Linked DNA regions of Cricetulus griseus. The protein of the gene in region 1 purifies or fractionates together with the protein of each later gene. This does not show direct contact. Links are inferred from orthologs where the notes say so. Each region holds a gene or a part of one and is shown on either strand. Other genes may lie near its edges. The genes, in order: Copa and Copg2.

Region 1 (11,563 bases):
CTTTCTCAAGTCTCTAGCCCCCCACCCCATCCCCCCAAAACAAAGAAATTGAGAAAATGATGTAGGTGGGTGCCTGTGCTGTCACTGACACCCGTAAACACGTTGATATGTTTCTCTAGTTCACCGTATATACAGTGATCTCCACTCGTTATTTTCCTGTTCATGTGCTGTGTTTGTGTCTGTGGGCACCCACTCCATACTGCCATCCTTGCCCTCTTACTTGCTTGGACATTTCCACTACTTCACCTTTATGTAAGCCCTAAGCAGACTTCGGGCATTTTGTGTCTGGCTCTGTTCTTTCCTCGGCCTCCTCATTCTCTGCACAGACTGTAGTAATGGTGATTTAGCAAAGATTTCAGGAAGAAGGTCCAAGGGTGGGCAGCCAGAGACAGCCAGATTTTAGTAACAGAGAGTTAGTTCTCTCCCACCTCAACAGGGATTGAACCCAGGACATCATGCTTGCTAGACAAGCTCTCTACCATTGAACTTAGCTATCATCACCACTCCCCCAAAAAACAACTTCTGGTTATCTCTTCTATTTCCTTTCTTTGTGGATCCTGTTGCAAGTTAGCATAACATATGTACAGCAAAAACAATAACTCAGAATATATGGTTAGGGCCGGGCGTTGGTGGCGCACGCCTTTAATCCCAGCACTTGGGAGGCAGAGGCAGGTGGATCTCTGTGAGTTCGAGACCAGCCTGGTCTACAAGAGCTAGTTCCAGGACAGCCTCCAAAGCCACGGAGAAACCCTGTCTCAAAAAACCAAATTTTACTTCAGAGCTGGTTCAGTCAGTAAAGTACCTGCCATGCAAGAATGAGAGCCTGAGTTTAGATTCTCAGCACTAGAATTGCAGACACTCATATACACAGACATTAAAAGAAAAACAAAACAAACACAAAAACCAGAACCTCGGCAATTATTATTGGGTTTTGTTTGGAGTATTTTTGTTGTTTTGAGACTTAACACAATAAAACATGTTTACTGACATTCAGAGTTAGCACTTCCTAAGTGGAAAACACATATTCCTGAGGACACAGCCCTGAGCAACTGCCTTTGGAAGCTTGCCCCTTGCCTGTAGAGATCGGACTTGATAGCCTCTAACCATTTCCCTTCTGTCCTTCCTTTGGTAGGGAAGGGAGGAGCGTTGGCTGCTGACATTGACATTGACACTGTTGGTACTGAAGGCTGGGGAGAGGATGCGGAACTGCAGTTAGATGAAGGTAGGAATGCTATTTTAGGACTCTTCTTAGATGATAGGCTCCATGGATGGAAGTTATCCATGGGGCAGTCAATAAGCTTCTAACTCATGGAGCCAATTAGATCCTAATATTTTGCTTTTTTTATGCTACCACCCAAATCTATTTTGATCCTGGATTTTCCTTTCAGATGGGTTTGTGGAGGCTTCAGAAGGTTTGGGAGAGGATGCTCTTGGCAAGGGACAAGAAGAAGGAGGTGGCTGGGATGTAGAAGAAGATCTGGAGCTCCCACCTGAGCTGGTATGTGAAGTTCCTCCCCTTTTCACCCTATAAAAACTGGCAGGTGCATGCTCGCTTTCTCTCTCTCTCTCTCTCTCTCTCTCTCTCTCTCTCTCTCTCTGCTCTCTCTCTCTTCTATCTTCTCTTTCTCTCTCTCTCTGTCTTTCTCTCTCTCTGTTCTCTCTCTCTCCTCTCTCTCTCTCTCTCTCTCTCTCTCTGTCTCTCTCTGTCTCTCTCTCTCTGTCTCTCTCTCTCTCTCTCTCTCTCTCACACACACACACACACACACACACACACATCTCTTACAGGATGCCTATCCTGAAGTCTCCACAAAGAGTGGTCCAGAGCAGCCTCCTAATCTGATAGGTTTTGAAAGAGGAGAGCTGACTGTGGACTGTAGCCTTGTTTCCATTCTTATGTAGCATTAGAGAAGGGGATACATAACCTCTCTCTAATCTAATGCTTATCTTCCACTTGAAGGGGGGGTGTTTAAAATCTTATTTGGAGCTTTTGTTATGTCATTTTCATTTTGGTGGCATGGCTTCCTATCTGTCCCTCTTATAACCATCATCTTTCTCCAGCAGAGGTAGGCATCTAAAATGTGTCTTTTATGTCCCTGGTAAGGTGGTTCCCGCAACCATCACTTCTTTTCTTGAACAGAGGTGGCCATCTAGATGGTTGTGCCTTGAAATCATCAGAACACAGTACCTGGACAGCTTTTTTAAATGTCGTGAGGTGGTCCAGCCTGCAAACATAGCTGAGTTGATCAGTGCTTGCCTGGCACGTACAAAGCCTTTGCTGAGAGCCCCACAATACATAAACCAGGCACAGTGGTAGAGGCAGGAAGATTCAGTCCTTGCTACATGGGGAGTTTGAGGCTTTGTCAGACTGTTTAAACAAAGCCTTAATTTTTCTTCCTCTAGGATATACCTGCTGGGGTTGCCGGTGGTGCTGAAGATGGCTTCTTTGTGCCCCCAACCAAGGGAACAAGCCCAACTCAAGTAAGCAGAAAAATACAATTACACAGGGATGAGTGCTCTGGGATGGTTAATATTTGATTTCTGGAGGGGGTGGGGAGATGTTGGCTACCTTTAACAGATATGGAGGAGGAGAATTGGAAAGAAAAAGGAAATTTTTCATTTGACTTAGGTTTTCTGTTTCTTACTAGATCTGGTGCAATAACTCTCAGCTTCCAGTTGATCACATCCTGGCAGGTTCTTTTGAAACAGCCATGCGGGTAAGTCTTTAAAAACCTTGGCCCTTCCTCTTGAGTGTCTATTCCAGAGTCCCAGGAGAATGGTGGACTCATCTTTTCAGCCACGTGGGAGTAGTGGTCTGACCCACAAGGGCCCACAAGAGGCTTTACAAAGGCCTCTTTCCACTCTCCACTTGGCCAGTGAGGGTTTAAGATGCATCTTCAGCCATTGCCAGTGCTGGTAGCCTGCTTTCTGGCTTACATGAGGAAAACCAGCACCTGTTCCTGCACACACTGCAAGTGTTAGGATGACAACAACTGTAACAACCATCAGTGTTTCTTTATTGTTGCTGTGTGTTATTTTAAAATACTCTATATAGATGTTTAAATGGAGATCCTATAATTACCTGTATATTGGCAATGAGAAAGCAATACAGAGATGTAAAATACCTTACCCAAGGTTGACTTAATTTTTAATAAATCCTCAGAGCTGGAGAGATGGCTCAGTGATTAAGAACACTGGCTACTCTCTAAAAGGTCCTGAGTTCAATTCCCAGGACCACATGGTGGCGTACAAACATCTGTAATGAGATCTGGTGCCCTCTTCTGGCCTGCAGACATACATGCAGATAGAACACTGTATACAAAATAAATAAATAAATCTTGAAAAAAAGAAAGAAAGAAAGAAAGAAAGAAAGAAAGAAAGAAAGAAAGAAAGAAAGAAAGAAAGAGAGAGAGAAAAGAAATCCTCCAGCAGTATAGAGGCAGAAATAGGTGGCTCTCTCTGAGTTGAGGCCAGTCTGGTGTACAAGGTGAGTTCCAGAACAGCCAGGGCAACACAGAGAAACCTTAACCTGAAAAACCAAAAAAGAAAGAAAACAAATCCTGTTTCTTTTTTGTTTGGTAGCTTCTTCATGACCAGGTGGGAGTAATCCAGTTTGGCCCCTATAAGCAACTGTTCCTACAGACATATGCCCGAGGCCGCACCACCTATCAAGCACTGCCCTGCTTGCCATCCATGTATAGTTACCCTAATCGAAACTGGTAAGTCTGCTTGCTCCTTGCTACCTCTTCCAAGTTGAAGTAGACACTTCAGATGGTAACCACAGTGAAACGGAATTGCCCTGGAGCTAAGGTTTCCAGAAGAAAAGATCTATGGCTTGTTACTTTGGAGTTTGGTTTATACCAGTTGTCATCCTGTTCCCAGCTACTTTCACAGTAGAATGACTGACTATCCTATTTTCTTCATAATTTTTCCTTTCCAGGAAGGAGGCAGGGCTAAAGAATGGTGTGCCAGCTGTGGGCCTAAAGCTTAATGACCTGATCCAACGATTACAGCTGTGCTACCAGCTCACCACAGTTGGCAAGTTTGAAGAAGCTGTGGAAAAGTTCCGTTCCATTTTGCTCAGTGTGCCTCTTCTTGTTGTGGACAATAAGCAGGAGATTGCAGAGGTAGGAGTCAAGCCACTTGCCCAATCATCCTGGGCATCTCCACAGTATTGTCTGTGTCATGACTGTTTTCTGCAACCTCTTCAGGCCCAGCAGCTCATCACCATCTGCCGTGAATACATTGTGGGTTTGTGCATGGAGATAGAAAGGAAGAAGCTGCCTAAGGAGAGCCTAGAGCAGCAGAAGCGCATCTGTGAGGTAAGATGCGTAGGGCCAGCCCTGCAAAGGCACCATCCCCATAGCCCTCTATTGGAGTTCCTCTCCATTTCTCCACCCTTATTCCTCAGATCATCAGCTCTCGTATTTTAAGAGGTAGAACTAATCTCTGTCTTATAGCCAATCATCTTTGCTTTGTATTATTTTGTTTTTTATAATTGTGTGCCTATTAATAAACAACAGCTGAACATCAGCCTGCCTTGTGTTCCTTTCTGTCCACTAGATGGCAGCCTATTTCACACACTCAAACCTGCAGCCTGTGCATATGATCCTGGTGTTGCGGACAGCCCTCAACCTTTTCTTCAAGCTCAAGAATTTCAAAACAGCTGCCACATTTGCCCGGCGCTTGCTAGAACTTGGGCCAAAGCCTGAAGTGGCCCAACAGGTACAGGGGAATTCCATTAGGGACTTTAGGGGGGCCAGATGGAAGGAATAGAAGCCCAAGGTCCTTGTCTCTGAAACAAAACAGTATAACAGCATTCAGCCCCAAACAGCCAATAGAATGACACGCTATGTGTTACTTATTGACCTTGGAGCTTCTTTTTTTCCCCCTGAAACCAAAGTAATAATTTATTCAGACATGGCATTGGGTAAGTGACATGCTAAAATACTTTATGTAGATGTTTAAATGGAGTAGACCCTATACTATACAGACTATAACTGTATTTTAGTAATGAGAAAGCAATACTGAGAAGGAAAATACCTTGCCCAAGTTTGACTCAATTTTTTTTCTATGTAGACCTGACTGTCCTAGAATTCACTATGTAGACCAGGCTGGCCTCCAATTCACAGAGGATCTGCCTGCCTCTGCCTCTGCCTCTAACTCCCCAGTACTGAGATTAAAAACATGTACCACCACACCAGGCTAGATTTAATTTTTAATTTGGCATTTGTGCTGCGTGTTACTGCTCCTTGGCTGTGCAATCTAGAATAACTCCAGTGCACCTGCAGATGATGCGTCTGTTCTTAAGCTCCAGGTGACACAGCTTGACCTCTTGTACTTCTCATACATAATCCATTATCTATGCCATCTAAAAACATTCTTCTTAGGCAATAGAAATCTGTTTTAACTCTTTCTGAGGCCAAACCCTAGTAATCTAATCCCTAGACTTTGTGAGAACTGTGGATTTAGAGCAATGGAGCCATGTTGAAAAGAGAGAAAAATTTCACTGTGTATCCCACACTGGCCCTCAAAGTCCTGAATCTCCTGTCTCTGCCTCCTCCTGAGTGCTGTGATGCACTGCTACACCCAGGAGCAATAGCAGTTGTTAATTTTTCACATCCATCTTATCCATAGGATGGGACCTATATTCCTGTAGTGTAGTGGTTGTGTTCTGTTGTTTGAGACTGGGTCTCAGTATGTAACTCAGGCTGGCCTGGAACTTGAGATCCTTCTGCTCCTAAGTGCTGGGATTGTAGATTTAGGCCATCATGCCCAGTATACAGTTGCATCTTATATCAGAGAGTACTTGTGCTGCTTTCTATCCCCTAAACAAAATGTTCTTCCCCCTTCAGACTAGGAAGATCCTGTCTGCCTGTGAGAAGAACCCCACAGACGCCTGCCAGCTCAGTTACGACATGCACAACCCCTTCGACATTTGCGCTGCATCTTACCGGCCCATCTACCGTGGAAAGCCCGTGGAGAAGTGTCCACTCAGTGGGGCCTGCTATGCCCCTGAGTTCAAGGGGCAAATCTGCAGAGTCACTACGGTAAGTCTTGTCCTCAAGAGTATCTCGAGGATATTGAGAGGAGGGGCAAGAGAAGGAAGCATGGTGGTGGTGATTTTCTCACCTTGCATCTGCCCCAGCTCCTTGAGGCAGTGACACTGGGGAGAGCTGGAGCTTCTGCCCGCTGGCCCACTTCTCAGGACCAAGCATCCATCTGACAGCTTGTTGGGGCGTGTAGGGAATGAGCTTTCTGGGGTCTCCGCCTTGTTCATCTCTAACTTCTCTGATTCCCACTTCCACAGGTGACAGAGATTGGCAAAGATGTGATTGGTCTGAGGATCAGTCCTCTTCAGTTCCGCTAAGTCTCCTTCCTTCAAGTTCGTGGATTAATCACATCCTGTCCTTCAGAGTCTCTCGCTCCACTCCCCTCCCTCCCCTAACATTCACACTTCAGCTTGTTGACATCTGGTTCTCCCAGAAACTTCATGTCCTTTCTCTCCTATGGCAAATTGGGATTTTCAGACTTGACCTTGCTCCTGCAGACCTCTCTCTCCTGAAGGTGATTTTGCCGTTCAGCTTGGGTCTTCCAAGGAACAAATGAAAACTTTGTGCAGGACATTTGTGTAGCAGATTCTTTCAGTATTTATTCCTCTCTTACCTACTGCCTTTGTTTCCACTCCACTAGAAAACAGTGGAATTTAATAAATGCCACGAAATTCATAACTATCTTGTATTTTCCTTGGGCATTTAACGTCATCAGTAGGTTTCTTCCCTCTGTGGGCCCAGACACTTGCAGACTGAGGAGTCTTTTTTTTTTTTTTTTCAAAATGTATACCATTTTTCACTGATTTGTTTTGTCCTTTATAGCCATTGTTCTTGTGTTTTGTTGCTCACATTAAAAATAAAGTAAATACTTTATTTCCCTGGCTTGCCATTTACTTCTTGGACAGTTAATTTCATGTGCCTGTTCGCATCTATGTAGCTCTCTCACCAGAGGAGATTCTTTGTTCAGAATCAATTTTTAATTATTATATACATTTTAATTAATATCACTGCAAGGAGAAAATGACATTTTTTTCTTAAGAGATATGTGCTGCATAGATCTACATTGTTGGAGAATGGTAAGAAGAGTTCTCTTGGAGCTGGGAGATGGCTCAGTGGTTAAGAGCACTGGTTGCTCTTCCAGAGAACCCAGGGTCAATTCTCAGCACCCACCTGGCAGCTCACACCTGTCTATAACTCCAGTTCCAGGGGATTTGACACTCTGACACAGACATACATGCAAGCAAAACACCAATAAAATAAAAAGTAAAAAGAGTTCTCTGTTGCATTTTTACTACAGCTTTCTATCTGTTGCTGATTACAGCCAATATTTGCTGAGCACCTATCAGTGTCCATCACTGTTCATGTATTTACAATAAGCACACAGTTGTCTTAGCTTCTTTTCCCAGTACTGTGACAAAAATACCCTGGCAAAAGCAACCACAGGGAGAAAGGGTTTCTTTATTTGACTCCCATTTCCAGCTTACAGTCAGTCCATCACTGCAGGGAAGTGAAGGTGGCAGGGGTTTGAAGCAGCTAGTCACATTAGATCCACAGTCAAGAGCAAAGAGCAAAGAATTCAAGTATTCCTGCCAGTACTCGACTAGTTTTCTTTTTTGTTTTTTGTTTTTGTTGTTGTTTTGAGACAGGATCTTATTTGGCTGGTCTGGCTGGCCCTGAACTGACAGGACTGGGAAGAAAAAGGAGGGTTTTGTTGTTGTTATTGTTGTTTGTTTTTTCCAGACAGTGTTTCTTTGTGTGGCAGCCTTGCCTGTACTGGAACTCACAGAGATCTGCCTGCTTCTGCCTCCCCAGTACTGGGACCAAAGGAGTGCACCACCACTGCCTGGCAAGAAGTCTACCTCTTTTCAGTACCAGCACTCTGAAGGCAGAGGCAGGCAGCTTTCTCCTTTAAATTCAGGACCTCAGGCCCAGCAAATGCTGCTGCCCACGGTGGGCACATAATTCTAAACAGACATTCTCTGAGGTCCTTCTACCAGGTGATTCTAAATTATGTCATATTCATAGAACTATCACAATTGTCAGAAGGGCATTTTGCTTCTATACTGAGTAATGGATAGATGATATATTACTCCTTTGATTTAAAATATAAGCATTCAGACCCAGTCTGGTGGCTCCATCTGTTCTATAGCACTTAGAAGGTTAAAACAGGATCAAAAGTTTAAGACCAGCTCAGGTCTTTAATCCCAACAGTTCAGAGGCAGAGGCAAATCTGTGAATTCAATACCAACTTGGCTCAGTCTACATAGTGAGTTCCAGATCAGCCAAGGTCTACACAGTGAAATCCTGTCTCAAAAAAAAAAAAAAAAAAAAAAAAAAAAAAAAAAAAAATAGTTGAAGACCAGAGACTGGAGAGATGGCTCAGCAGTTAAGAGCATTGGCTGCTCTTCAGAGTACACAGGTTCAATTCCAACCATCTATAACTTCAGTTCCAGGTGTTCTAACTCACCCTTCTGGTAACCACAGGCACAGCACATGGTGCACAAATCTATACACCCATCAAAACGTTCAACCACAAAATAATCATTTTTTTTTTTTTTAAGTTCAGGATAACTCCGGGTATTTCAGGGCCTGCCTGGACTACCCTATCTCAAAAACAACAAAATAGGCTAACATGTGGCTCGGCAGTTAAGAGCAAGCATAGTTCTTCCAGGGGGCCCAGGTTCAGTTTCTATCACCAGTAACTCCAGCTCCAGGAGAGCCAGGGTTTTGAGCCTTCACAGGCACCTGCGCTCCCATGCACAACCCCACGTGTAGATCCACACAAGCACACAGCTGGAGATGTAGCTCCATTGTAGAGTGCTGGCTTAGTATGTACAGGGTCCTGGACTTAGTTCCTAGCACTACATAGGGTAGCACACACCGTTCTCAAAAACTAGATAGATGCAGAAATTTTGTTTAGTGACTGGAATTGAACCCAGGGTTTTGCACATGACAGGCAAGCATTCTACTACTGAGCTATCTATATCCACTGGGGAAAAGATGTGCAAAGTGTGTACCAGGTTCTTTGTGTTATTTCTGAGACAGGTCTTGAACATTTTGCTTTAAAACTAGTATACATACTAGTTTTTTCACTGCATATTTTAAGTTATGAAAGTGTCTATAGTATCTGGGTTATGCAGTCTTTTGCAATTATCAGCGTTGTTGCAATAAATAAACTTGAACACACATTGTATGGGTGGGGAAAGTATCCCTGAGGCTGAACTACAAAAGGAATACCTGCTTCAAAGATCACAGGACTTTTATGTTGTCAGATCTAAGAGTTGCTGTCTTAAATATAATCCTCAAACTAAGGCTGCTTTCTCAAAAACCTGTATACTATAAAAATATTTTCTCAAGTTTTAAACATCCTTCCTGCAAGTACAGGCAAGAATCAGGCATGGTGGCTTACACCTATAATTAAAATTCTTGGAAGGCTGAGGCGGAACAATTGTCTCACATTCAAGGCTAGCCTTGGCTAAAGAGTGAGACCGTCTCAAGAACGACATCTTGGGGGTTACAGAAATGGCTTAGCAGAGGACTAGAGTTCAGTTCCCATCATCCACACCTGGTGGCTCATAACCACCTATAACTCTTAGCTCCAGAGGGATTTGTCACCTCTTGCTCCTAACAGGAAGTGCACTCACAAACACACACCCAAATGCGTATGTGCGCACACACAATTTTAAATAATTAAAAATATTTTTTAAGTCTTGGCAGGATGATCTTTTAAGTTCTAGGCCAGCCAGTGCTACATAGTGAGACCCTGTCTAAAAATAAGGGTCTTTTTTTTTGTAAGTTTACAAATTAAATCACAAAACTGTACACAAACATTCTAAAGTAAGTATTGTGAACCCAGTTGATAATCTCTGCTTCTTGTCACTTACCTAACTTGGGAAAGAAGAATGGATATATATGAAATAATTCTATCAGTCAAAAGTCTGAAGTTAATCATAAGCAGTGGAGAGCCATTAAGTCCTTAAACAGTATGAAAAAAATATGAGCAGAGGGGCTGGAGAGATGCCTCAGAGGTTAAGAGCACTGACTGCTCTTCCAGAGGTCCTGAGTTCAATTCCCAGCAACCACATGGTGGCTCACAACCATCCGTTATGAGATCTGGTGCCCTCTCCTGGTGTGCAGATGTACATAGAAGCAGAATGTTGTATACATAATAAATAAAATCTTAAAAAAAATATATGAGCAGAATAGGGCATGGCAGTGAGTATCTGTAATACTGGTACTTGGGGTGTGTAGGCAACAGGATGAGGATCTAGGTCAGCCTGAGCTAAATGAGCCTCTTCAAGCAAGAAAGGAGAGGGGGTACTATGAAATACGGTTTTGTCAGTATTCACTATGTATTAGGAAGTCAGAAAGAGCAGTGAGGGGTGAGTTACATTGCGGTAGGATGTTAGGACTATCAGAAGGAGGAATAGAAAGCAGAGCGGGCGTGGTAGCACACGTCTTTAGTTCCAGCACTCTGAAGGCACATGCAGGGTGATTTCTGAGTTTGAAGACAGCCTGGTTCTACAGAGTGAGTTCCAGGACAGCTAGGGCTACACGGAGAAACCCTGTCTCGGTAAAACAAAACAAATGCACACACAACAGAGAAGGAAATAATGCAGAGAAAGAATTATGTTTGTGTTTGAGTCTGTCTGAATTCTATTAACTGTGTTTCCAATTCTACCTCCAGTCAGCCCTTACAGGCAGGACCAACTCGGATTTATTTGTATATTTCATTGTGCCTAGCATAAGATTGTATACAACTGTAGATGCTCACTACGTGCTAAAAATAGATTTGGCAATCATTATTTTGTTTATCTATCTGTTTTGTGTCAAGGAGCACATGTGGAGGTCAGAGTCCAGGGCATGGGTAGAAGTCTCTCCTAAGGGTGGGGGGGTGGCACACACCTTTAATCCCAGCACAGCAGAGGCAGGTGAATCTCTGTGAGTTCGAGGCCAGCCTGGTCTACAGAGCGAGTCCCAGGACAGCCAGGGCTACACAGAGAAACCCTGTCTTGAAAACAAACAAACAAAAAATCTCCCCTACCATGCAGGCTTTGAAATTGCCTCAATTTGACAATTCTGTTTTTAGCCTTAAAAAAAAAAATGCACGTTACCGGGAGTTTTTTAGCTCCGGGTTTAGCTAAATCTTGTGGTGTAATCTCTTCCTTCTGGAGGAGGAGGCAGTAGGACAAGAAGAACCTGCCTGAAAACAAAACCTCTCCGGACGAAAGGGAAAGTTAACAAACAGATCCTCTCGCCTCTTCAGCCCCTCAGCCCGGCCCCCACCTCAAGCTGGGCCTGGTGGGTCGGGCATTTGGGAAATGGAGGCGGGAGGCGCCCGATTTCTAGACCAGCCTGCGCAACAGATCTAGTTCAAGTCCAACCGCCGTGGCTGTAGCTCCGGGGGTGGAGTGCTGGCTTAGTTCGTGCGAGGACCGAGGTTGCTTCTCAGAAGAAAAATAAAAACAACAACAACCAACGAAAGCCACGGTTTCCTGTCCCTTTAAAAATGG
Region 2 (11,765 bases), on another chromosome or scaffold:
CTGTAAATGCTGTGTTCTTCATTTATATACACAATTAGATAAATTTATGTGTTTGTCTTTTTCTCTTCTCTTGCTCTCATTCTCTTGCTTCACTTTTTAATGGGCTTCACACTGTGACACAGACTACACTTGAACTCAGTAGGCAGTCAAGAATGGCCCTAAACTTCTGGTCATCCTGCTGCTACCTGCCAAGTGGTTACAGGTGCACACCATCGCCTGGTGTGATGGGCTTCATGCATTCAAGCCAAGCACTCTACCAACTAACCAATATCTTCAGCTCATCCTATTTTCCTCCAATTATTTTGGAAAAGAAACATTAATAGGAAAAACAATAAATCAAAAAGCTTGCTCCATGAAAATATCTATAAGGTATAAACCTCCAGATGAAACTCTAAGGAATACAAGACATAATTTACCCATATTAAAATGATAGATATCATTACAAAATCTACAGACATTATAAAAAAAGATAATGAACAATTTTATTTTCCATCCTCCAACAAACTCAACCTTGTGCATACACTCACATGCACACACGTACAGGTGCACTCACACACACAGAAAAATTCTTTTATCATTTCAATTTTCTTCCATTAATGTTCCTATCCTTCAAATTGAAATCTTTTGTTCCCTAAGGATTGCCCTGCAACTTTCTAAATGGTGGCTGTTTTCTTTCTCATAACCTCCAGACAAGGAAGCCACTCCTGCCTTTTCAGCTCCTGACATCACCTTCTTTCAGTGCACCCCCTTCCCTAAAACGTTCTGGATTTTAAATGTCATGCCCTTACACCATATCACCTACCATCATTCACCGCAATGGTGACTCATTTTTGCTGTCACAGCCTCTAGCAGTGACAGCCACCACTCTTGGCTCCATCAACCTGGTTCATTCTATCATTACGTATAACCCCTCTATCCTATAATTATTTGCTGACCCCAACAGGCCCAATGCCAGGTACCTGACTGCAAAATCAGAGCCACATCCAGCCTTGCCTGACTTTTATAAAACAGCACTATTCCAACAACTTGAAATGCCTACTTTTCTAGTCTAACCCTGAAGGAAGAGCACAATGGCTCTGTTTTTTGATTGAACGCTGAATTCTTGGTACAGGAAGTGATTAAAAGGGTGCATGTCCTAGAGGCTAGGAACTTGAAAATGCTTCTCTGTTTGGACTGAAGACATTAACAATCCTGTTTCTAGGTAATCAGGGGATGAAAGTAGTCCATAGCATGAAATAACAAAGAAACATTTAAATTATCACTTGTAAAGACTTACAGAAGACAGTTTTAGTTAAATAAGAGGGTGCATTGTAATAAAAATTAAGTTGTTAAAAGTAATTTGTTTAGGGGGCTGAGAAAGCTAGTTCAGTAGGTAAAGGCACTTGCTACCGATACCGAAGGCCTGAGTTCAATCACCTGGACCGTCATGGTGGAAGGACAGGACTGAGTATTGCAAGTCGTCCTCGACCTCCACACAGGCACCACCGCATGTGTGCACATACAAATCACATACAAATCTCTTCAAAGAAAATGATGAGCTTAACAGGTTTAAAATGGACAGCTGAAAGTCTGTGAAGGAACCAGAGATCCTCTCTGGTCATATATACTATATATTATACTGCTGTGTGACAGGAACCCTTTTGCCATGACCATGTGGCCACAAAACTGGGAAAGCATATCCTGCAGGAAGTTTAATTACAAAACAAATTGAAGCCATACCCCTGGAGAACTAGATTGGCAAGGAAGAAGATCTGAAAGTGAGGTGGAGACAAATGGACAGATTTTGATGAAGGTATCTGAAACCCCAAATTCTGCCAAGCATCTTTTGTCAATACAAGTACTCTGATCTGAGGGGACTGTTCTCCCTCTACCTGAGCATATATAAGGCTTCCCTTAATAGAACTGTCCTACAGGGGTCTGCTGATTTTCTTGAAGAACCACTTCTAAAATCTTCATTATCTAGACATATGGGGCAGACTCAAATCCCAGGGGTCCTAGGAACTGGACACAAAATGTACCCTGTGCTGATACACAATATGCATGAAAAGAAGTTGGCAAAAGCATGTTAACAAAAGGCTAAGAAATATGTATCCCAGAATTCTCCTCCCTGTGTGTGTCTGTATTGAAGCTGGGCACAGAAGAGATGTGCCACACTCAGAAAACACAAGGAGAGCGGCAGCAACCACCTCTAAGCACTGAGGTGGCCCAGGGTAATGAGGCAGCTACGGAGGTGTGGCAGGCTTACTGTGTCCCCACTCCAAATGCAGCTCTTTTCAACCGCCACCCCGCTGACCAATAACCTGGACCCAAGAAAAACCTGACTAGGAGCCAACTGAGCGGGACTTCAGGTATCAGCTTTCCCCCTAATGACGTCAGGAGCAGCTTTATACTATATACTTTATATAGTAATACTATACAATATACTTTATACTATATACTTTCATTCTCCCACATTCACATGACATTTAAAAACATCCGTAAGTTTTATAAGGAAAGACTGTTTTAAAGTCATTTTAAACATTTCAAACAACCCTCTTTAATTTGGAATACTCTTAAGTTCCTGGGAAAAATAAATGTTTTCATCATAAAAGAATAAAAAAGACTTACATCATTAGATTGAAACAAGCGAGTCATTGCAAAGAAGGCTTCTGTAGCTTCCATAGTCCCAAAGGGCTCACCCTAAGTAAAATTTAAAACGAGTTTTTAAAATGAAAAAATATAGATGTTAAGGATTTTCTCTTTATTTCCTCAAGAAATCATTTTGAATTCAGGAGAAGGTCTCTTTATAAACATTCTTGGCAACTTTTCTGCTTTCGATTTAGAAACCTGCAGGGGAGAAAAACTCCTCAGGGCCATTTAGAGACTTGTTATTTAAAATAATTCAAAATACCACACCACAGTTCTGGAATTGTAGTCTCTACATCTTTAACAGAAACTGCTTCTATTTCCCTCAAGGATTTACAGGGAGGTAAAACATGATAGGAAGTAGAATTTCCAATCACCATTGCATGATAAGGTCACACAACCTAAAATCAGGGATTACACCTTGTAAATTTCCACAGTCTAATGCCTGGCACATAACCAGTACAGGACAGGTGTATCGCGCTTGCGTGCGTGCGTGCGTGTGTGTGTGTGTGTGTGTGTGTGTGTGTGTGTGTGTGTGTGTGTGTGTGTGTGTGTGTGTGTGTGTGTGTGTGTGTGTGTGTGTGTGTGTGTGTGTGTGTGTGTGTGTGTGTGTGTGTGTGTGTGTGTGTGTGTGTGTGTGTGTGTGATCCCAGAAAAAATGGCAACATGGTATCCAAACCAAAAGAGAAGGATCTAGATTCATCTTCTTTTTATCTTTCTAGGTGCTATAGATACTGACCTAAAAACTCTTAGAAGCATGATTTGGAGCTTACAATTTTTGATGCGAAAACAGATTATTTAGGGATCCTGTCAAAATGCAGTCCCCTTCAGTGAAATCTTGAGGAAACATGACAGTTTTCACTTGGTACAAACTCCCAGACACGACAATGCTGTTGCTGATCTGGCAGTAGCTCAGATAGACAACTTAATTCACTAATTTAAAACATTTCTGGTCATAGACTTCCTCAAACACTACCATTTCAATACTTACTCTTTTCTTTGACATTGGTCCTATACAGCACATCAAGCCCAATCAGTTTTCAGGGTTCAGATTTTAAATGAGATACAAGTAGTCTTACATCTATTTGCCAAGGGGATAAGAATTTTGCTATAAAAAGTGTCTCCAGTTTAGGATGAAAGACAAAGTCTAACAAAAGTTTACAACTATTTAAATCAGTGTCCAACTTGCTTATCAGAAAGAGACAGGCCTTTCTTACTGTGAAACTCGCCAAATACCCAAAATCCTGTGGGAGTCTTCAGTCATATTAGAAAAATCTTGTTACTACTTTTTGACTTAAACTCAGAATGTGTGGCTCTGTCAACTCTAGCAGAAATTTTGAAGTGTTTTTTTGTTTGTCTGTTTGTTTGTTTGTTTCTCCCCCTTTTCTCATAGAGTTCTACAAGAACCAGGGAAGGGGATAAAATGAATGCTCCCAACCCTGTTTACATGACCAAGTTCATGCCCAGTCTCCTTAACAAGATCACTGCCAACAGGAATTGATCCAAGAAAGAGATATTGGCCAACTTGACTTTGACTTCTTTGAACCAACTTTGACTACTACAATTCCAATGGAGTTAGCCACTTTGGACTACAATACAATATATGTGATGCAAAGTCAAACTGATTTTGGCTTAAACATTCCTAACATGCTGCCACAGTAGGGTAACATGCTTATTTCTCAATCTTCATTTGGAAACAACAAAATTTTGTTAAGTCTTTAGATTACGTCTTTAGAGGCTGTTAAGATGGCTCAGTGGATAAAGACACTTGTTACCAAGCCTGACAACTTGAGTTCAGTCGCCATGTAGAGAGACCCGACCTCCATATGCACTTGAGGAAAGCACACACAAAGTTAATAAGTAAATGTAAAAAAGTAAAATAAAATTTTTTCTTAGAATTTCAGTTGGTAAATATAACACATTTAGTAATACATATAAATCTCTTAGGTATGCAAAGTATATAGGTTTGTATATAAATACTCAAAGAGAAACATACTGTCTACAAAATAAAATCATATTTTCTAAAGTTTTAAATATTTGTGAGACTGAATTTACTGTTTGAGGCAAAGGCAAAAAAGAAAATTAATAGCAATAATAGAACACAGAATTTAAAAAAAAAATTGGTTTTGTCTGCTATAACACCAGTGCCTAGAACAGTATATAAGATACAGCAGGAATGCAATAAAACTTGTTGAGTTACAAAAGGAAAGTATTTCTGAATACAAACTATGTGCTTAATACTATTACAATGGCTTATATCTACTATTTCATTTAACTGTAATGTTATCATCTGGGTGTGGTGGCACACACATTTAATCCCAACACTCGGGAGGCAGAGGCAGGCCCATTTCTGTGAGTTCGAGGACAGCCTGGGCTGATCTACAGAGCATGTTCCAGGACAGCCAGGGCTATTACACAGAGAAACCATCTCAGGAGGAAAATATATTGGTATTGCAATCCTCATTTACACAAGAGCAGTAACCCACATAATGATTAAACTACTTGTCCAGAATCAAACTGGTAGTAATAGTGTAATAATGCTACTAATACAAAACCTGAACATGGCTCATGTTATTTCTGTCCTAACAAACAAATCTCAGGAAGTCAGAATAGTTTACCTGGTTGAGTAAGTACAGAATCTTTGTCAAGATATGCAAGCATCTTCTTGGATTGATGGGGGTTTCATTGAATATGCGTGCCTACAGAAACATGCAAAACAGTATGCTATATATGGTGTAATTTCTATCACAGAGGACAACAAATCATCTTTAGTAACATTAACATCACGTTAGTAAACTATCCAAATAATGTCAGTTGTCTATGCTCTCAAGTTATGACAGTATACAGTAAATTACTGGATGGGACCTGGACTTTCCTATCTATACTTTCTTATTTACTCCCTTAGGTTGGCTATTTCAACTTTAAAGACTTTACCAGAACCTCTGTCTACATAGGAACATCAAGAGTTTAATATCTGAGCTGGGCGTCAGTGGCACACGCCTTTAACCACAGCACTCGGAAGGCAGAGGCAGGTGGATCTCTGTGAGTTCTAAGCCAGCCTGGTCTGCAGAGGGAGTTCCAGGACAGGCTCCAAAGCAATACAGAGAAACCCTGTCTCGAAAAACCAAAAAATAAAATAGTTAATATCTGTGAAGTCTTCCAATAACCTTGCACTTAACACTACTTCTTCTAGTATTTCATTAAAATCCCCCAGCACCCAACAGAGCCTGTAGGTCTACCTCTCTATGGTTCCAGACTGCCCTTTTCCCTCTTTCTATCCTCTGCACTCAGTTATACTCCTTTCTTACTTTTAATATAAAAAAGAAAAATCAATTTCTTTCTTTGACCAAATGTAGGGAAGAGTGACTTTTAGCCTGCCAGGTGGGTCTACGCTCCTTCATTCTTATTTTGGGTGTCCTGACTTTAGTACCTCAGAGGTTCTCTGCCCATCATTCTCAAACAGAATCAACAAGGTAGTGCACACATTCAAGCCATACCTCCTGCAGGACAGCACTCTTCTCCAAATTCTGGAAAGGATTGGAAGCACTACCTATAGTGTAAGAAAAAGAGAAGGTCTTCGGTAGCTGTCCTGCAAAGACTTTTTCCAGAGAAGGACATTGCATGCTTGGGGATTCTCACCTCAACAGTATGGTCCCTTGGAAGTCACAAGGACAACCATGACTAATATGCAAATTAGTTGGAAGAAGTAATTTTGGTTCTGGTACAAATTCTGTCATTGCCATACTGAGGGAGCATGGCCTTCTCTGGATATAGGAACCCTGTCCAAAATGAGTGCCTTCCCCCATCCCATGGATGTTAACAAATGTGTCGCTTCCACCACCACCACCAAGAGTAATGAGATGACAGGACACTATGGATTTCCCTAAAAGCAAGCCCTGCTGTACGTGTTTCACACATTTACTGAAGCAGAAAGGAACAGTGTCGCAGAGAATCACAAATGTAAAGAGGCCATGCAGGATGAGGCCATGAAGGTCCACTAACCCAACCTTCCACCACACTTGTGAGAGCAGCTACCACTGAAGAGCTGAAGATTTTTTTTTTTTTTTTTGAAGAGGCTTGGCATCTTCCCCACTTGCACTGCACCACAGACAGGGATCAACACGCAAGTCACTTCTGGATGCCTGCGCATTCAATGAGCTGTGTCCCACCGGGCAGTCTTAACCCCTGGGAACAGGAGAATCAAGGCCCTTCAGAGTCCATAAACACGCAACCCTGGCCCGGTCGACCCCAGCCAGCCCCAGCAACCAGGGGTGCTCGCCCTGGGGCCTAACCCCACCAGCAACCCCAGGCTACCGAGACATGCGCGCGCACCTCCTCGCCCCCCGACAGGGCCCCGCGGAGGGCCGGCTCTGAGGGGCGGGGACGCGCCGGGGCGGAGCCGCCGAGCGCTCCAGGCGACACCCGGGCCGGGAGCGCGCGGCCCGAGGGGAGGCCCCGGCGCCGGGGGAGGGGCTTCGGGCAGACCCCGCCGATGCGGCCGGTCCCCGGAGCAGGTGGCTGCTGCGGGCGAGGGAAGGGGGACCCCTGCGCTGGAGGGTGGGCGTCCGGAGCGCCGCGCGTACCAGACTCCTCGTCCTTCTTGTCGAATTTTTTAATCATCTTGGACGGCTTCCCAGCGCCCAGACCCACCGCAACCGTTCCAGGCGCCGCAGCCGGCGAGCGGAAGACGCTGCAGGAAGGCCGGCCCCGTGTCCTCACACCGGTTGGGCCAGCGGGCCGTCACTCGGGGCCAAGGCCCGCCCCCCTCGGGCGTCCATGGCCGCCCTCGCCCCCTAGGGACGCAGGCACGCCCTCTGCTCCGCCCACTGTCGCACGGGGGCGGGGCCAGGGCCAGACCCTGCCCGCAGGCTTGCCCCGCCCCTCGTCCCAGGTTCTGCAACTCGGGTCTGAGGCAGCAAGTGTGGAACTTTATTTGGTTAGTTGGTGACTTCTCCAGGCCTCCTCAGTTCTTGGAGAGCCAGGAAGGGGTGAAGGATTTGTCTTCACTTAATGACGGTGGCATTTTGGATAACCCACTGCTGAGCTCTTCCATAGCGAAAGACGTTCTCCCCTGGCACAGTTCTGGTAGGCTTCTCCTCCAGAAGCTTTAAAAATGTCAGTGGTTCCAAAAGCATGGACGAAGTTGGTGTCGCATCCTCTGACTTCTTGGAAACTACGACAAAGCATAGAACGCATTGAATGTGCATCTCCGAAAGGACTAGAGGGATAATTAAAGGAAGGTGTGATGCGATCCGTTTGGTGGGACCAGACTAACTCTTACCAAGAGGGTGCATTCTGGGACTGCCATTCTTGACCTCTTTGGATTCTGGATTCCTTCGTCACCAAAACCCACTGCCAATTTGGTCTTCAAATGATTCAATCTTCAGCCATACTGGTTAACGCTGAAGTAATTTAAGGGACACACACACTCTCTCTCTCACGTGCCCCGGTGCTTTCCCAAAATGTTCTCTCATTCTCGGCCCCGTCTCGAAGTATGAATAACACAATTTTTCTACCTTTGTCATGGATGGCATCATATTCTAGATGGTCTTTCCGGTTCCACCTGTTCTTAGGGCGTTGTCTATTGATGAAGGATCTTAACTACTGTCCTGGGTTCAGGGTGTGGTTTGCCTCTTGGGCAAATTCCTAACGAGCCTACAAAACTTCTACCCAGATCTCTCCAGAAACACATCACTGTTGAGGAAATGCACCATAACTGGCCATTTAGGTACACAGTAAACTAACAACTCAGGTTTGGAGAGGTCATCATTAATGTCACTAATATCATTAGAGGCTGCAGACTGATATGCTACTTTATGCCTGTATACCTAGGTCATCCTGTTACAGACAGGGCTCTTGCAAAATTACAAAGTCTTACCAAGGTTATATTGCAAATAGTAAAGAAAAATTTAAGGCATGGTTGGCTCATGCCTTAAATCCCCAGCACTAGGAGGCAGAGGCAGGGAGATTTCTGAGTTTGAGGCCAGCCTGGTCTAGAGTGTTTCCAGGATAGCCAGGGATACACAGAGAAACCTTGTCTCGAAAAACCAAAAGAAAAATTTCCCACCAGACACAGATTTAAGCTGAATAATGTGTCTAATCCTTAATAATGGTATTACTTAAGACTTTGCTCCATTCTGATTAAAAGTACTATGCTAGGGGCTGGAGAGATGGCTCAGTGCTTAAGAGAACTCGTTGCCCTTGCAGAGGACCTGGGGTTCAATTCAGCACCCACATGATAGTTCACAGCTATCAGTAACTCTAGTTTCAGAGGATCTGATGCCCACTCTTCTGATCTCTGTGGGCAACCAACCACACATGAAGTACACAGCATATAGGGCAAAACACTCATACATCAAATAAAATAAATAAATCTAACTTAAATTTTTGAGGACTACGCTAATGATTGTAACTGCCTCATTTGGCTTATAAATTCTAACCCATGCTCATCATGTGGAGTCTCTTGTGGAAGAAACATGCTTCCTCATCTATATTCTGGGGCTGAAAACAAACAGGCTTTGGAGAAGGAGAGACCAGTTATGGGATCATCTTTTGTACACTGTGAAGATGTGTCTCTGCCAAGGCATCTTCTGATTGGTTTAATAAAGAGCTGAATGGACAATAGCCAGACAGGAGAAGAAAAGGATGACTTCAGAGGAGAGAAAAAACTTGGAAAGAGTCTTCTGCATGCTGGGGGATGAAGCCAACAAGATGTGGAGGTGGTTGGATGTACAGTATGAAGAGAGGTAATGAGCCCTGTGGCGGAATATATGTTAATATAAACCGGATAATTTAAGTTATAAGAGCTAGTTGGGAACAAGCCTAGGCTAAGTCGAATCTTTTATAATTAATAATAAGTCTCTGTGTCATTATTTGGGGGGAGTCCAAAGAAAGTCTGACAAGAGAGACCTGCTATAGAGACCCTCTTCTCCCTTGGACCATAGTTATTGGGAGTTAGGTAGGGACAGGGTCATGAAACCTGGCAATTTTCAAGAACAGGTAATGTAAAGGAGGCCTGTGGAAGAGTAAAGAAACTGAGGGTGGGGTGAGGCTGGGCTCTTTTAAACAAGATGGATCACTGTGCTTCTTCAGCTTTTTCATACATTGATCCATTTTTCCCCCTCACTACAGATTGGTTTCAGTTGTATATGGGGAATTGGGGAGAAGCATAGGTAGGGATAGAATGGAAGGAGGGGCAAATGAGTATAGGAGGAGACAGAGACGATGGAAGGAGGCTAGGAAAGGGTGGTATAATATAACCTATATCTCTAAAAGAAAATAATGATTGCCTTATGCTAAAGCTGTGACTGGTGAAGTCTAGAGGCTCATCAATTGCATGTCTAATATACAGTTATGTGTTTGACACCCCGAAACCCTTCAGTGGGGCCCAACTACATAATGGAGAAAATCCAAGCACATATTGCATATTTATATAATATACAAGGCCCTTCGTGGTCTAGACTGTCTTTACCTTTGGTGTTTAGTAAGAGCCTAACACAGAACACCCGCCCCCATGAGTGTTATCAAATGAGAGACAATGTATGAGCATTCTTACTATGCCTTCTGTAAATCCTTGTCCCAACACCCTTCAACCCTATTCTTACCTCTGTCTCAAAGAGACCTGCTGGCCTCTGAGACACACATACTTTTTGTTGTTTCAAGACAAGGTCTCACTATGTAGCTCTAGCTGTTCTGGAACTCACTATGTAGACCAGGTTGACCTCAAACTCATGAGATCTGCCTGTCTCTGTCTCTCAAGTGCTAGGGTTAAAGACGTGAACATCAGGCTTGTGACACACATACTTAGCCTTTGGTCCTTTACAGCAGGTTTCCAGAAAGTATGATGTGCACGTATCTGGGAGGTTTTAGGTTGTACACAAATATACATTTTAAACTACATGTAGCCAAATGTCAAATCCAGGTTATCAACAATTATACTATTTAGTTTAAGAGTTTTTTTTTTACTTTAAAATGCATCATTATTGCAAAAACTATGAAAATGGTAGATTGATATAGTCCAGGGAACTCTCTTACCTTCTTGAACTTTCTAGAAATGTGAGTATCAAAATAGTCTAGCACCATCTTAACTTTCCTTCTATAAGGAAAAGTAGTGTTTGGACCCATGACAAAAGATGCCAGCTCAAGCAAGTCTCTAAGCCCAGTGGATTCTCACTCTAGCCCACATCTCAGTTTAGCAAAGCACAGTTGGAGAGAGGAGAACTTACCGTCTTTCTTTGCCTCTCTCTGGGAGGCTGGAGCAAAGATGAGGTTAGGATACATTTTTCTCTGTTTCCTCAAAGCATAGACTTCAGAGTACTTCCCTTCAGTCTTGAAATCATTGTCAGTGGAAAACCTTAACCAACAAAAGTGTACTTGGTTGATATAGGACTGTGAATTAATGGCTAGCCACCTAAAAGTCAGCTACATCACCGGAGATCCCAAGGAAGAAAGGAAAATAGCCAGAGGGTTGGGGTGGTTGGTTTAAAAAAAAAAATGGAGGGATTGAGATACTGGCCATGCTTCAAACCTTTCAGCTGATTCCAGAATCCCCTGTCTTCTCAATATTAGATAAAATCCTCCTTTGAATTGTAATGATAAATTTTCCGCCAAGCCACCCTAGACCCGCTGCCACGTAGATGCCCGAAATAACACACAGACTCTTATGTTGATTACAATGCTGCTGGCCAATGACTAGGATTTCTTATCTGCTATCTCTGTCTTAAGTATCAACCATAATTATTAATCTATATATTTTATAAAGACTTATGGAGGATGCCGGCAGAATGCATCCTGTCTTCCTGGGGACCACATGGCAACCCCCCTTACTACATTTTCCAGAATCCTCCTAGACTCCTAGCCCCGCCTATCTTGCTTTCCTATTGGCCAACAGCACTTTATTTATCAACCAATAAGACAAACATACAAGAAGGACCTCCCCCATCATCTCCTGTCTAAACAAAAAGAAGGGTTTTAAAATTAACAAAATTAACAAAAAGAAGGGTTTTAAAATTAACGTAGTAAAATACATAACAAAACAGTTATCAAGTAAGAACCATAGTTACGATATTTTGTTCATTTACATTTAGCAAGATTTTAAAGAAAACATTCTATTATCTATCTTTGTGAGTCTAAAGTCTTAT

The links.
Region 2: the proteins of Copa (region 1) and Copg2 fractionate together in Homo sapiens (co-fractionation; 4 studies listed by BioGRID and IntAct, with this or other methods). This does not show direct contact. The link is inferred for Cricetulus griseus from reciprocal best matches to the Homo sapiens genes COPA and COPG2.

What each region holds. Positions count from the first base shown.
Region 1 is NC_048598.1:20,725,265-20,736,827, reverse strand, and holds the end of Copa (coatomer subunit alpha), read left to right. Parts: intron 1-1,132; coding exon 1,133-1,222; intron 1,223-1,388; coding exon 1,389-1,498; intron 1,499-2,400; coding exon 2,401-2,478; intron 2,479-2,645; coding exon 2,646-2,714; intron 2,715-3,579; coding exon 3,580-3,716; intron 3,717-3,937; coding exon 3,938-4,124; intron 4,125-4,208; coding exon 4,209-4,319; intron 4,320-4,560; coding exon 4,561-4,722; intron 4,723-5,852; coding exon 5,853-6,047; intron 6,048-6,307; coding exon 6,308-6,367; 3' UTR 6,368-6,943; downstream 6,944-11,563. UniProt on the Homo sapiens protein: The coatomer is a cytosolic protein complex that binds to dilysine motifs and reversibly associates with Golgi non-clathrin-coated vesicles, which further mediate biosynthetic protein transport from the ER, via the Golgi up to the trans Golgi network.
Region 2 is NW_023276806.1:196,961,792-196,973,556, reverse strand, and holds the start of Copg2 (coatomer subunit gamma-2), read right to left. Parts: upstream 6,791-11,765; 5' UTR 6,776-6,790; coding exon 6,628-6,775; intron 6,176-6,627; coding exon 6,123-6,175; intron 5,325-6,122; coding exon 5,244-5,324; intron 2,680-5,243; coding exon 2,608-2,679; intron 1-2,607. UniProt on the Homo sapiens protein: The coatomer is a cytosolic protein complex that binds to dilysine motifs and reversibly associates with Golgi non-clathrin-coated vesicles, which further mediate biosynthetic protein transport from the ER, via the Golgi up to the trans Golgi network.